Stegostoma tigrinum: one gene and its partners. The main gene of each other region encodes a partner of the protein of the gene in region 2 in a complex. Links are inferred from orthologs where the notes say so. Each region holds a gene or a part of one and is shown on either strand. Other genes may lie near its edges. The genes, in order: inka1a, pak4 and limk1a.

Region 1 (3,746 bases), on a different chromosome or scaffold from region 2:
AAAGATTTCAAGAATATGGAACTCACTACCAAATTGTATGAATCTATTTTGAGGAACTTGACAAGTATGTGGAAGAAGGGAATAGAGCATGATAAGATTGAGGGAAGTTGCAAGTAGACCCTAGTGGAGCAGAGACAATGGGAAGGTCAAGCAGCCTATTTCCATAAGACCATAAGATATAGGAGTGGAAGTAAGGCCATTCGGCCCATCGAGTCCACTTCATCTTGCTGTATATCCCATATAATCATGCGCTTTATTATCTATGCACAAAAGGTGATAGAAGTTTGGAACTTCCCCACATAAAGGAGTCGATGATAAATAATCATTTCAAATTTGAGGTTGATACAATTGTAAGCAAAATTCTATAAAAAAGGAAACAAGGAAAGTTGTGAAGCCAAGCTTCAGATAGGCCATCATTTCATTGAATAGGCTTGAGGGGCTGAATGGCCCACCCACATTCCACTATATATCAGGGTCTGTCGATTGACCTGCTTTTCTCCCATACAATCAAAATGCCTTCCAATCTACTAAACCCACAGTAATTCCATCATTGAATAGTGGATACATGAATATCTATTTAGCCCCAACCCTATCATGTCCTGAAAATTGCTTGACTTCTACCGTGTGAAGCCAGCATTATTTATGCTCCCCCTCCCATAGCTACAGCTCTATCAAGGGCAGGCATCGTGAGATCTAGAATGTATATTGTTCCAATGACACTGCCAAGATGGTTTTCATTTCTTCAGATTCTTGCAATACATGCTTGGAAATTAAATTGAGGTCTTCAGCAAATCCTGGAGGCTTCCATCACACACGCTGATTTAAAATACAATACTGCCTGTGAAGTAATTAAAGCTTTTCCGGGTCGGTAGGTGCCCCGAATGCCTATATCTAAACCGTTCCCGACTTCAACGAAAGGAGGAGTTAACTTCCTGCAGAGTAACACTTGATTTAGTGTAAACTCTGCATGTCTTTTGCAGTTTGGTTCCACGAGGAAAATTGACACGTGGGAATTTAATTGCTGAAGGCTGAAAGTTGTCCCCTCAGCCCCCTCTGGTGACCTAACCGATACATGCACCTTGGTGTCGGAATGGACCATCAAGAGTTGCAAGATCCCAGGCTCCATCCCTGGTCAATACTTAGTCTAATGACTTCAGGACACGAGGCCACTTGGCCCATCACTCCGACCTTGCAACTAGCTCGCTGCACGCGACACATCGTCCCCTGGCCCAATACCCCAAGCTGGGGAATGGGAAAGGGAAAGTGAAAGATGCAACGGGTGGAAATGAAAACCTCTTCCTCCTTCCCTCCCGCCATAACTTTACGTTTGAGCCTGGAACCTGGTCTTTCTCCAACCAGCCCTCGAGTGTTGCGGCGCTGATGGCTGTCGTTGGACAGTTCCCGGGCACGTCTGGCGCTGACGGCAAAGCTCTGAGGAGAACTCAAAGAGGCCCCTTTAACCGGGAGAGCTGGGATCCCTGTGGAGAAGGCAGCACCCTCGCTGTTTCTGATGAGTTAGAGATGAGTAAAAAGGTCAGATTCTCTCAAACATTCCATTCCAGTAGTACAGGCGCTGCGGGCAGGTACTAACACGTTAACTGTGCTTCATGCAGAGCACCTGGACATGCTACAGCTCACCTGGCCTATTGTACACTGTTTCACAAAGGATTCTGCATTCTCTTTCCAAACTGCTCCCCCTCCACCGCACCCCCCCCCCCATGGATGTTTTGGTGGTGGGGTGGGGGGGGGGGGGTACGGTCAGTTCTCACGATCTGAATGGTGTATCGCTTGAGTTAAACGTTGTCCACAGCATCTGCTCCTATTAGCCCGACTAAACCCAATTCCAGCTGCTAATTATATTAAACCCTCGGCTCCTTTTATCGTGAAAGACTGGAGTTACTAAATCATAACCACAGCCGGACACCCCCATAATCTTAGATCATAAGACCTAACAAAAAGGTTTTTAAAAGAAAAACAATATCGTCTCAAGTTAAGAACATTGACTCGTTTCTGAGCACCAAAGCCTGTAAAGTGTAAAAATTTCTAATAACGCACAGTACAGAGAATTCAAAAACTGTCCTCAAGAATTATTTAGGGTTCCAAAAGCTACTGGATTTTTAGGTGCAGTGATCCAATCCCTGCCACAATCTATTTTTTTCAAAGTTTGAAATAACTGCTAGCATTCGGGGAGTTTTTCTTACAACACACTCGACACAAATCGCCGCTGAAGCTTTTCCAATGAACCCTCTGTTTAACTCACCATTTCTTTGCGAAGATGACAAATGAAATCATCCAGTTTTGCGTCCTGCATCACCAAGCACTGTACTGCAGCTGCCCCTCCAGCACTGTCCTGTCAACAATCTCCGTCTCTACATTAGAAATCGCAGCTGCTTTTTCACTCGCTTTAGATCTTGACCTCTTTTTTTAAAAAAAAGTCCCTCAATTTTTTTTCTGTCTTGTTGCAGAATTCAGACACACTGGCATACACATATGACTATTTCATATATAGCTTTCCTCCGCAAGCTCCTCCCCAATCCCCGGCTCCCCTAGTTAAAAATCAACCAATCAAGACTCGGGTCCCTCCCTCGGAAGCAAGCGTCGGGCCAATCGCCTCGTTCTGTAATCTTAAACCAGATTGTTTTACAGAGATTTACAATGTGGAAAAATTGGGACTCCGCCAAGTGTCAGAGGGGGCCCGTCAAAAAATCTCCTTCTATATGTGTTGCATCAAATATTTTGGCTTAGTAAACAGTGCTGTGAACTTTCCTTTTAAAAAAATAAAATTGGAACGTTCGATATTCAAGTTCCCAAGCATCTGCTGCAACTTTTTTTTAGTTCTTGCGTTTTTAACATTTGAAAGTCTGGTCTTCATCAACGGGACAAATCTGCGTAAGAAATTGTGCACAGGCCCGGTGTGTCGGGGGGGGGGGGGGGTAGCCGACAAGCAATCTGCTTTATTAGTCTGAGGGCTTTTACACGGAAACAGAAATTGCTGGTAAAGTTCAGCAGGTCTGGCAGCCACTATGGAGAGAAATCAGAGTTAACGTTCCAGGTCACGCTTTTTTTTCCAGCTTTGGCTTGTATGCAGAATCTGGGTGAAGTCCCAACTTCCCAGCTTGGAAACCCCAGGAATGGTGTCACACACACATACATACTGGGAAGCAAAACTTCTTAAACTATTTCGCAATAGTTGTTGTAATTAGAGGAATAGAGCTAGAGAAATATATAGTTTGAGTTGCAGTGGTGAGGACTGTAATTTATATTAGAAATTATTGTAGAAACTCAGCTGATCTGGAAGGGTCTGTGGAAAGAGCTGCCAAACCTGGTGAGTTTCTCCAGCATTCTCTCTGTTTGTTTCAGATTTCCAGCATTTGCAGTAATTTGCTTTTTAATAATTCATATCAGCCCTGTCTCGGATGCAGCACACTCGTTGTTCAGTCACAAACAAGAACAGAAATTTCTAGTAAAGCTCAGTGAGTCAGGAAGTATCTGCTGAGAGAAATCAGAGTTAACTCTCAGGTCCAGTGACCCTTCCGCAGAATTGATATCATAGATGCTGCCAGACCTGCTGAGCTTTTCCAGCAATGTCTGTTTTTGTCTCTGATTTCCAGCACTCGCAGTTCTTTCAGTTTTCACTCTTCAGTCACATGGTTCAAGATGTGTTTGCTAAAGGAATCAACACAGGCTTTTCCTTTATTTGGTCATGGGATGCAGATGCCTCAAACTAGACCAGCATTTGCTGTCCA
Region 2 (3,746 bases):
CCCCCCTCCCCGCCCCCTTCTCCCCCCCTCCCCGCCCCTCCCCTTCTCCCCCTTCCCCGCCCCTCCCCCTCTCCCCCCTCCCCGCCCCCTTCTCCCCCCTCTCCCCCTCCCCTCCCCTTCTACCCCCTCCCCGCCCCTCCCCCTTCTCCCCCTCCCCGCCCCCTTCTCCCCCCTCCCCCTCCTTCTCCCCTTCTCCCCCCCTCCCCGCCCCCTTCTCCCCCCGCCCCTCCCCGCCCCCTTCTCCCCCCCGCCCCGCCCCTCCCCCTTCTCCCCCCGCCCCTCCCCCCTCTCCCCCCCGCCCCTCCCCCTTCTCCCCCCCGCCCCTCCCCTTCTCCCCCCGCCCCTCCCCCTCTCCCCCCCGCCCCTCCCCCTTCTCCCCCCGCCCCTCCCCCTCTCCCCCCCGCCCCTCCCCCTTCTCCCCCGCCCTCCCCGCCCCTCCCCTTCTCCCCCCCGCCCCTCCCCCTTCTCCCCCCCCGCCCCTCCCCCTTCTCCCCCCCGCCCCTCCCCGCCCCTCCCCCCCGCCCCTCCCCCTTCTCCCCCCCGCCCCTTCTCCCCCCGCCCCTCCCCTTCTCCCCCGCCCCTCCCCCGCCCCTCCCCTTCTCCCCCCGCCCCTCCCCCCCACCCCTCCCCCTTCTCCCCCCCCGCCCCTCCCCCCCACCCCTCCCCCTTCTCCCCCCCCGCCCCTCCCCCCCACCCCTCCCCCTTCTCCCCCCCCGCCCCTCCCCCTTCTCCCCTCCCCTTCTCCCCCCCGCCCCTCTCCCCCCCGCCCCTCCCCCCCCGCCCCTCCCCCTCTCCCCTCCCCCCCCCGCCCCTCCCCCCTCCCCCCCCGCCCCTCCCCCTTCTCCCCCCCGCCCCTCCCCCTTCTCCCCCCCGCCCCTCCCCCCTCTCCCCCCCCGCCCCTCCCCCCCTCTCCCCCCCCGCCCCTCCCCCCGCCCCTCCCCCCTCTCCCCCCCCGCCCCTCCCCCCTCTCCCCCCCGCCCCTCCCCCTTCTCCCCCCCGCCCCTCCCCGCCCCGCCCCCTTCTCCCCGCCCCGCCCCCTTCTCCCCGCCCGCCCCCTTCTCCCCCCTCCCCGCCCCGCCCCCTTCTCCCCCCCTTCTTCCCCCCTCACACGTCCCACCACATGCCACACGCCCCGCCCCCACTCCCACTCCTTCTCACGCCCCCGCTCCCACTCTTTCCCTCTGTCTTCCCCTTTGTCACCCCCCTCCCTTGGACTGACCTGTCCGGCTACGGCTGCTGGTGCCTGCGGGGGAAGAGTTTTCTTCCCAGGGGTTCACTGCCACATCCGGGAATTCCCGAACCGCAGGCGCCGCATCCGGGCAACCGCATCGCCGTGGCAACGGGGAGAGACCAACCTCCCCCGGCACGGGGGTTAAGGGAGAGAGTAATTCCCTGCTTGCAGCGGGGGGAATCAGGGAGAGACTAATTCTCAGACTCGGGGAAATCAGGGAGAGACTAATTCTCAGGCTGGGCGGGTGTTACTGGGAGAGACTAATTCTCAGGCGGGGGGTTACTGGGGGAGACTAATTCTCAGGCTAGGGGGTTTACTGGGAGAGATTAATTCTCAGGTGGTGGGGCGTGTTACTGGGAGAGACTAATTCTCAGGCTGGGGGGGTTAGTGGGAGAGACTAATTCTCAGGTTAGGGGGTGTTACTGGGAGAGACTAATTATCAGGCTGGGGGTTTACTGGGGGAGACTAATTCTCAGGCTGCGGGGGTTACTGGGAGAGATTAATTCTCAGGCTGGGGGGGGTGTTACTGGAAGAGATTAATTCACAGGCTGGGCGGCGTTACTGGGAGAGACTAATCCTCAAACTGGGGGGGGTCACTGGGAGAGACTAATTCTCAGGCTGGGGGTTTACTGGGAGAGATTAATTCACAGGCTGGGCGGGGTTACTGGGAGAGACTAATCCTCAGGCTGGGGGGGGTCACTGGGAGAAACTAATTCTCAGACTGAGGGCAGGGGGTGGACAGGGAGAGATTTATTCTTCTCCCTGTAGGGAAGGACTGGGAGAGACTAAGTCACTACATTGAGGGGAGTTGAGACTAGTTTGTGCACAGCAAGCTCCCAGAGGCAGCAACGTGAGAAAAACTGGTTCATCTGTGTTTTAGAGACACTGACTGAGGGATAAACATGTTCGGGGACAGGTGCCCGCGGGATCCTACCCCTCGCGCCGAGGGGCTGGCTTCGGTTTAACGTCTCACCTCAGGGGCGGCCCCTGCGACAGGGCTGCACTCCCGCAGCACCACACGGAGGATTTCTGATCGAGGGGGTGTCACCGTCGACGGTGTCTGTCGAAACGTCTGGCCTGCTCCCAGCGGTGACTCCCCGCCCCGGCGTGGTGCTGTCGTGTCGCTGGCCTGCTCCAGAGCCAGGCCCCGGCGCGGACTGGAAGCTAAGTGGTCGGCTGTGCTGAACTTTTATTTCTGTAAAGCTGGACATTTTTGTGTTCTGTACTGAAAACAAGTGCAGGGGACCCCCCCGGGGGCCAGAGAACATCCATTGCTGGGGGGGAGAGAGAGACTTTCGAGCCTGGGTTTTATGGTCTGCATCGTGTAAAGCTTGTAACGAGAGGAGCCTGGGCACTTGCACATCGCAGTGGCAGTGTATAAACTGTTTTTAACTGTACTCACCGAGTACGTGTGACAACAAAGACTGTCCTGTCCTAATACTAACTCCCTGCCGGCCTGGACTAAAGTCCTTGGTGTTAGTTGTACCGGACCTAACACGTCCGACCGACATCGCTCAACCAGCAAAGTCTCCATCTGAAATATTGCTGCCCTCTGGCACCTGCTGGTTTTATGATGGTCTCACATCTCGATCCAGTTCTCGAAAGGTTTTGGAGCAGAAACACGAGAACACACACAGATTGTAAAATGATTGCGGCAAATATATCCCTTTCAAACCTAATCCCCCCGTTCAATCAGTCACAGACAATCTCCCAGACGCGCCATGGTTCTCTTAAGCTCAGGGACCTTTTTGTTCTTTAATATAATCCACATCTCAACTCTCTCGGGCAGAGAATTCAACACGTTCTCATCCACTAGGCACCGAAATTCTCGTCTCAGCTCAACCCAGAGGCAGTGCCCCCTTGGATCTAGTTAAAGTAAACAGCACCTCAGCATCTACGCTGTCATCCACGAGGAATTTAACACATTTCAATGAGATGACCTCATTCCACTGAACTCCAGAGGGTAGAGGCCCATTCTACTTAATCTCTTCTCACAGCCCACCCCCCTCTCTCCGGCAATCAATCCAAGGTATCTTTGCTGCACCCTCTCTGAAAGGCAACTTATCTAAATGGAGAGAAACCTCAAAATGTTTTGTAGAGCGACCTGGGTATCCTTGTGCATGAATTGCACAAAACTAGTGTGCAAGTAGAGCAGATAATAAGGAAGGAAAATGGAATTTTCATATATACTGCTAAAAGAATAGAGCATAAGAGGAGGGAAGTGTTGCTAATACTGTACAAGGCATTAGTGAAACCACACCTTGAGTATTGCATACAATTTTTGGACCACTTACTTGAGGAAAGATGTCATTGAATTGGGGGCCATTAATAAGAGCCTCACAAGATTAATTCTAGAGATAAAAGAGTTTGTCTTATGTCAGTGTAGATTTATATGCTCTTGATTTTAGATGTAATTGAGATCTTAAAATACTATAAGACCATAAGACATAGGAGTGGAAGTAAGGCCATTCAGCCCATCAAGTCCACTCTGCCATTTAAATCATGGCTGATGGGC
Region 3 (3,746 bases), on a different chromosome or scaffold from region 2:
TCTTTATTTTTCTTTTTTATCCCCTCCTAAGAACTTGTACTGAGGAATCTGGACCTAGGTCCCTTGTGCCTACGATGGTTCCATAAGTGGAGAGTTGTAAAGTTTTCACTGTACTCATTTGAGGACGTGACAATAAAGCTAATTCAATTCAATGTGAATCAACGATTTACACACACTGCTTTCAGTTCAGTGTGCTGTATTTGATGCACATGATGTGGTCTCTCCTACATGGTGGACAGCATATGCAGTCTGGGTGATCACTTTGTGAAACGCCTCCATTCAGTGAGCAAGCATGATTCCGAGCTTTAACTTCCCACTTGGATTCTCCTCCTCTCTGCTCCCACACTGACTTCCCTATCCTTGCCTGCTATAGCTTTCCAATCAAGCCCAAAACAACTGGGAACACAGATAATAGGAACTGCAGATGCTGGAGAATCTGAGATAACAAAATGTAGAACTGGATGAACACAACAGGCCAAGCAGCATCTTAGGAGCAGAGAAGCTGACGTTTTGGGCCCAGACCTTCTTCAGATTTCTGGGGAACACAGCCTCTCTGGACTCAGCACTCCACAGCCTCAATATTGAGCTCAATATTGAGTTCAACAATTCTAAAATATGAACTGTCCCTCAATTTCGATCAGAGATAATGGGAACTGCAGATGCAGGAGAATCCAAGATAAAGTGTGGAGCTGGATGAACACAGCAGGCCAAGCAGCATCTTAGGAGCACAAAAGCTAACGTTTCGGGCCTAGACCACCCTCAATTTCATTTCTATTCATGTTTATTTTTCATTAGTTGAGCTTTAATTTGCTTCATTTTTTTTTCGAAAAATCACTATCCAACCATTCGAACCTCATCTGGAGGTATTTTATTTCTTGACATGTTCCATCACCATTCTCTTTAGCTTCTGTACATCAAATGTCATTCAATTTTCTGACGGTCACCAACCTATCCTTTAGTTCTTTTGTTCCACCATCCACTCCTACACCCCACTCCCAACCCCTTCCACTTACTCAAAACCTAAAATAAAATAAGGGCCTCAGCACCCTCCTCCCTGTTCTTTATCAACTCCCACACCGAGGCCTTGTCTTCGCATGAGCTACTTCCAACCCATTTTCACCTCACAGTCCACATTATCAGCCTTTCTCCTTCACTGGCTTACCATTATCCATTCTTTTGTTCGGCTAACTGCCTTTCTCCTCCTCCGAGCTCAATCTCTACCTTTACCCCACCCGCTGCCTTCACCATATAGACCATGTTTTGTTCGGCTAACTGCCTTTCTCCTCCTCCGAGCTCAATCTCTACCTTTACCCCACCCGCTGCCTTCACCATATAGACCATCTTTTGTTTGCTGCTCCAAGTTCTGATGAAGGTTCATGGAGCCAGAAATGTTTGCTTTTTGTCCATAAATGTTGCTAGACTTGCTCGGTTTCTCATGCAGTATCTGTTTGTGTTTCTATTCCATTTCGAACAAAAAAAGGTCGAAACCTTAAATGTTATCTTTTCACAGATGCTGTCAGAACTTTTGAATGTTCCTTATTTTTGTCTTTTTGTTAAAAGAATAGCATGGGGAACGTTAATAACAGTGGACGAATGGTACTTATTTCAATATATATAATGCATGGAGGTACACAAATATCCATTGTGTATTGTTTTAACAATACTGTACACAATTATTGTACATCTGCCTGGAAATAAAACTGTAATTACATTTGTGACACTTAATTCAAACTACTTCCACAACAATGATACTCCACTCCAATGTTGCAGTGTTCAAAAATTATTTTCAGTAACACATCAATAAAAAGGAAAAAATAATTTAGAATTCTTTTACAATATTCCACCCCCAACTATTCCCCCCCCAACACGTGGGCAACTTGACAGGAATTACCATTAGTGTTCTGAGGGTCCTCCTTGTTAAATGTTTAACAGAATGGGTTTACACTGGCTTGGCCTGCAATTGTTACCCTAATTGCCCTTGAGGTGATGTTACCGAGCCACCTTTCCAGTCCATGGCTTTTAAATGAGCAGAGGATAAAGGTCCAAGGTTATTGATGTGTCCAAGGATACAGACTGGCTCTACAGGCGCGCGCGGACACACACACAGGGGGGGGCTGGATTCTTACCTGAAGCAGGCATTGTGCCAGTCTGTGTTTAGGGCCTGGAGGTACTGACCATCATAGATAGAGCGACCACATCCTGCACAGCATGGAAAACATCCTCCTGCAAACCAAAACAAAATGTTAGCACACACTCCAGCAACTGCACACAGGCCAATATCGAGCACATCTTTGCTGCATCCAGACAGGCCAGTGACACACAGAATAACTCAATACAACGCAGGGCCCATACCAACTGCAGGCACAGAGACACACAAAGCACAATACAAGCGAATACAGCCCAGCAAGGCCTGCGTCCTGCAGCCAGACAATACAGCACAGAGCCCACTAAAACACACAGGCAGAGACAAAAAAAATGCAAACAGCATGAACTTGGCGGAATATACTAAAATGCAGTTTCCAACCAACTCGAATGATAACATGCAATTGAATCGAGCTCGGGACAATGAAGTCCTTAATTAAAACCAGGCAGAAGTGCTGCAGTGTCTAGTACAACCCACCCTCCTCCTCTCCCATCCGATCGTCCCTCCAGGTACAGCACAGCAGCATCAACCACATCCAGACCCGACAGCCTGCCTCCCGTGAAGCCGAGTATGTGGAACCAGCTCCAAACGAACATCCAACCACCACAGCTCTGTGGTACTCCCTCCCTTAGACTCAAGCAGACACCGAGTGAGACAGACGCAGGTTGGCCAACTGGCAGCTGATCCTGAGACCTGATGAAAGGATCGCTGCAAACTACACAGTAATGCAACTCCTGCAGCACAGCCGCCTCTCTCTCCCTCATACTCTCTTTCTCTCTCTTTCACTCACACACACACATCCCCAGAGACAGTTCAGAACGTTGCAACCCTATGTATTATTGTGCACAATTCAACACCCACCCCCAAAATGATCAGCTTTCACATTAGAATTGCATTCTGCGGGCTTTCTTTTTTATTTTCAAAAGTACTGAAACTCACAGAGTCTTTTTGGTTCATCATCTGGCACTATGACAGTGTACCATTGTTACAGAAATTACCTTTTATCAGTCATTTCAGTGAGTAACCACAAATATTTCTCTCAATCTATTGAAAGGTATATGTCATGTGAATGGTATTTGAGCTCCATGTCTGATTGGCTTATCGAATGAATGGGAAACTTTGATGCAGCCAGTCGCCCCTGAATTTGTTCAGTTGCTGCTGTTTTGGGGGACGATATTAACATTGGTATGGCATACAACAGGTCAGACTTGAGAGGTATGGACACGGTATTTGCAAGACCTCGCGCACATCACCAAATTAAAGACTGACACTGTGTTTAATTGGTTGTTGCAGGAACTCCTTATCACCCAATTATTAGAATTTATTAAATAACTATCATTCTCAATACAAGACTTTCACGCCCATCTGTTTAATGTGTTCTCTGAAGTATTTAACCATGGTTTGGCAGTTACCCATAATTGCTTCATTGTTCCATGTGCAGGAAGATGGGATTAGAAAGGGCAGCTAGGTGTCTTGCATGGGTCAGCATAGGCAAGATGGGTCAAATGGCTATCTTCTCTACTGTATCATTACTCTGGTTTTAGTCATTTCTGTCCTTGCACAGTCTAAACCTGTTTGGTCATCTGCATTTTTGGTATGTTTT

The links.
Region 1: the proteins of pak4 (region 2) and inka1a are in contact, whole or in part, in a crystal structure (PDB 4XBU), measured with the Homo sapiens proteins. The link is inferred for Stegostoma tigrinum from reciprocal best matches to the Homo sapiens genes PAK4 and INKA1. Residues at the interface, in NP_001014831.1 of Homo sapiens: Ser331, Gln358, Arg359, Glu361, Leu362, Thr404, Asp440, Lys442, Ser443, Asp444, Phe461, Leu475, Val476, Gly477, Thr478, Pro479, Tyr480, Trp481, Met482, Arg489, Glu507, Glu512, Phe516, Asn517, Glu518, Pro519, Pro520, Met524; in NP_976248.2 of Homo sapiens: Gly178, Arg179, Ser180, Arg181, Gln182, Pro183, Leu184, Val185, Leu186, Gly187, Asp188, Asn189, Cys190.
Region 3: the proteins of pak4 (region 2) and limk1a are in contact, whole or in part, in a crystal structure (PDB 6WLY), measured with the Homo sapiens proteins. The link is inferred for Stegostoma tigrinum from reciprocal best matches to the Homo sapiens genes PAK4 and LIMK1. Residues at the interface, in NP_001014831.1 of Homo sapiens: Glu329, Gly330, Ser331, Gln358, Arg359, Leu362, Thr404, Asp440, Lys442, Ser443, Asp444, Phe461, Leu475, Val476, Gly477, Thr478, Pro479, Tyr480, Trp481, Met482, Glu507, Phe516, Pro520; in NP_002305.1 of Homo sapiens: Lys505, Arg506, Tyr507, Thr508, Val509, Val510, Gly511.

The regions. Positions count from the first base shown.
Region 1 is NC_081364.1:12,626,533-12,630,278, reverse strand, and holds the start of inka1a (PAK4-inhibitor inka1), read right to left. Parts: upstream 2,498-3,746; 5' UTR 2,312-2,497; coding exon 2,261-2,311; intron 1,508-2,260; exon of another isoform or gene 1,326-1,507; intron 1-1,325. UniProt on the Homo sapiens protein: Inhibitor of the serine/threonine-protein kinase PAK4. Acts by binding PAK4 in a substrate-like manner, inhibiting the protein kinase activity.
Region 2 is NC_081392.1:17,174,734-17,178,479, reverse strand, and holds the start of pak4 (serine/threonine-protein kinase PAK 4), read right to left. Parts: upstream 2,774-3,746; 5' UTR 2,634-2,773; intron 2,519-2,633; exon of another isoform or gene 2,205-2,518; intron 1,335-2,204; exon of another isoform or gene 1,220-1,334; intron 1,061-1,219; exon of another isoform or gene 1-1,060. UniProt on the Homo sapiens protein: Serine/threonine-protein kinase that plays a role in a variety of different signaling pathways including cytoskeleton regulation, cell adhesion turnover, cell migration, growth, proliferation or cell survival.
Region 3 is NC_081380.1:14,146,384-14,150,129, forward strand, and holds the start of limk1a (LIM domain kinase 1a), read right to left. Parts: upstream 2,920-3,746; 5' UTR 2,679-2,919; coding exon 2,621-2,678; intron 2,224-2,620; coding exon 2,127-2,223; intron 1-2,126. UniProt on the Homo sapiens protein: Serine/threonine-protein kinase that plays an essential role in the regulation of actin filament dynamics. Acts downstream of several Rho family GTPase signal transduction pathways.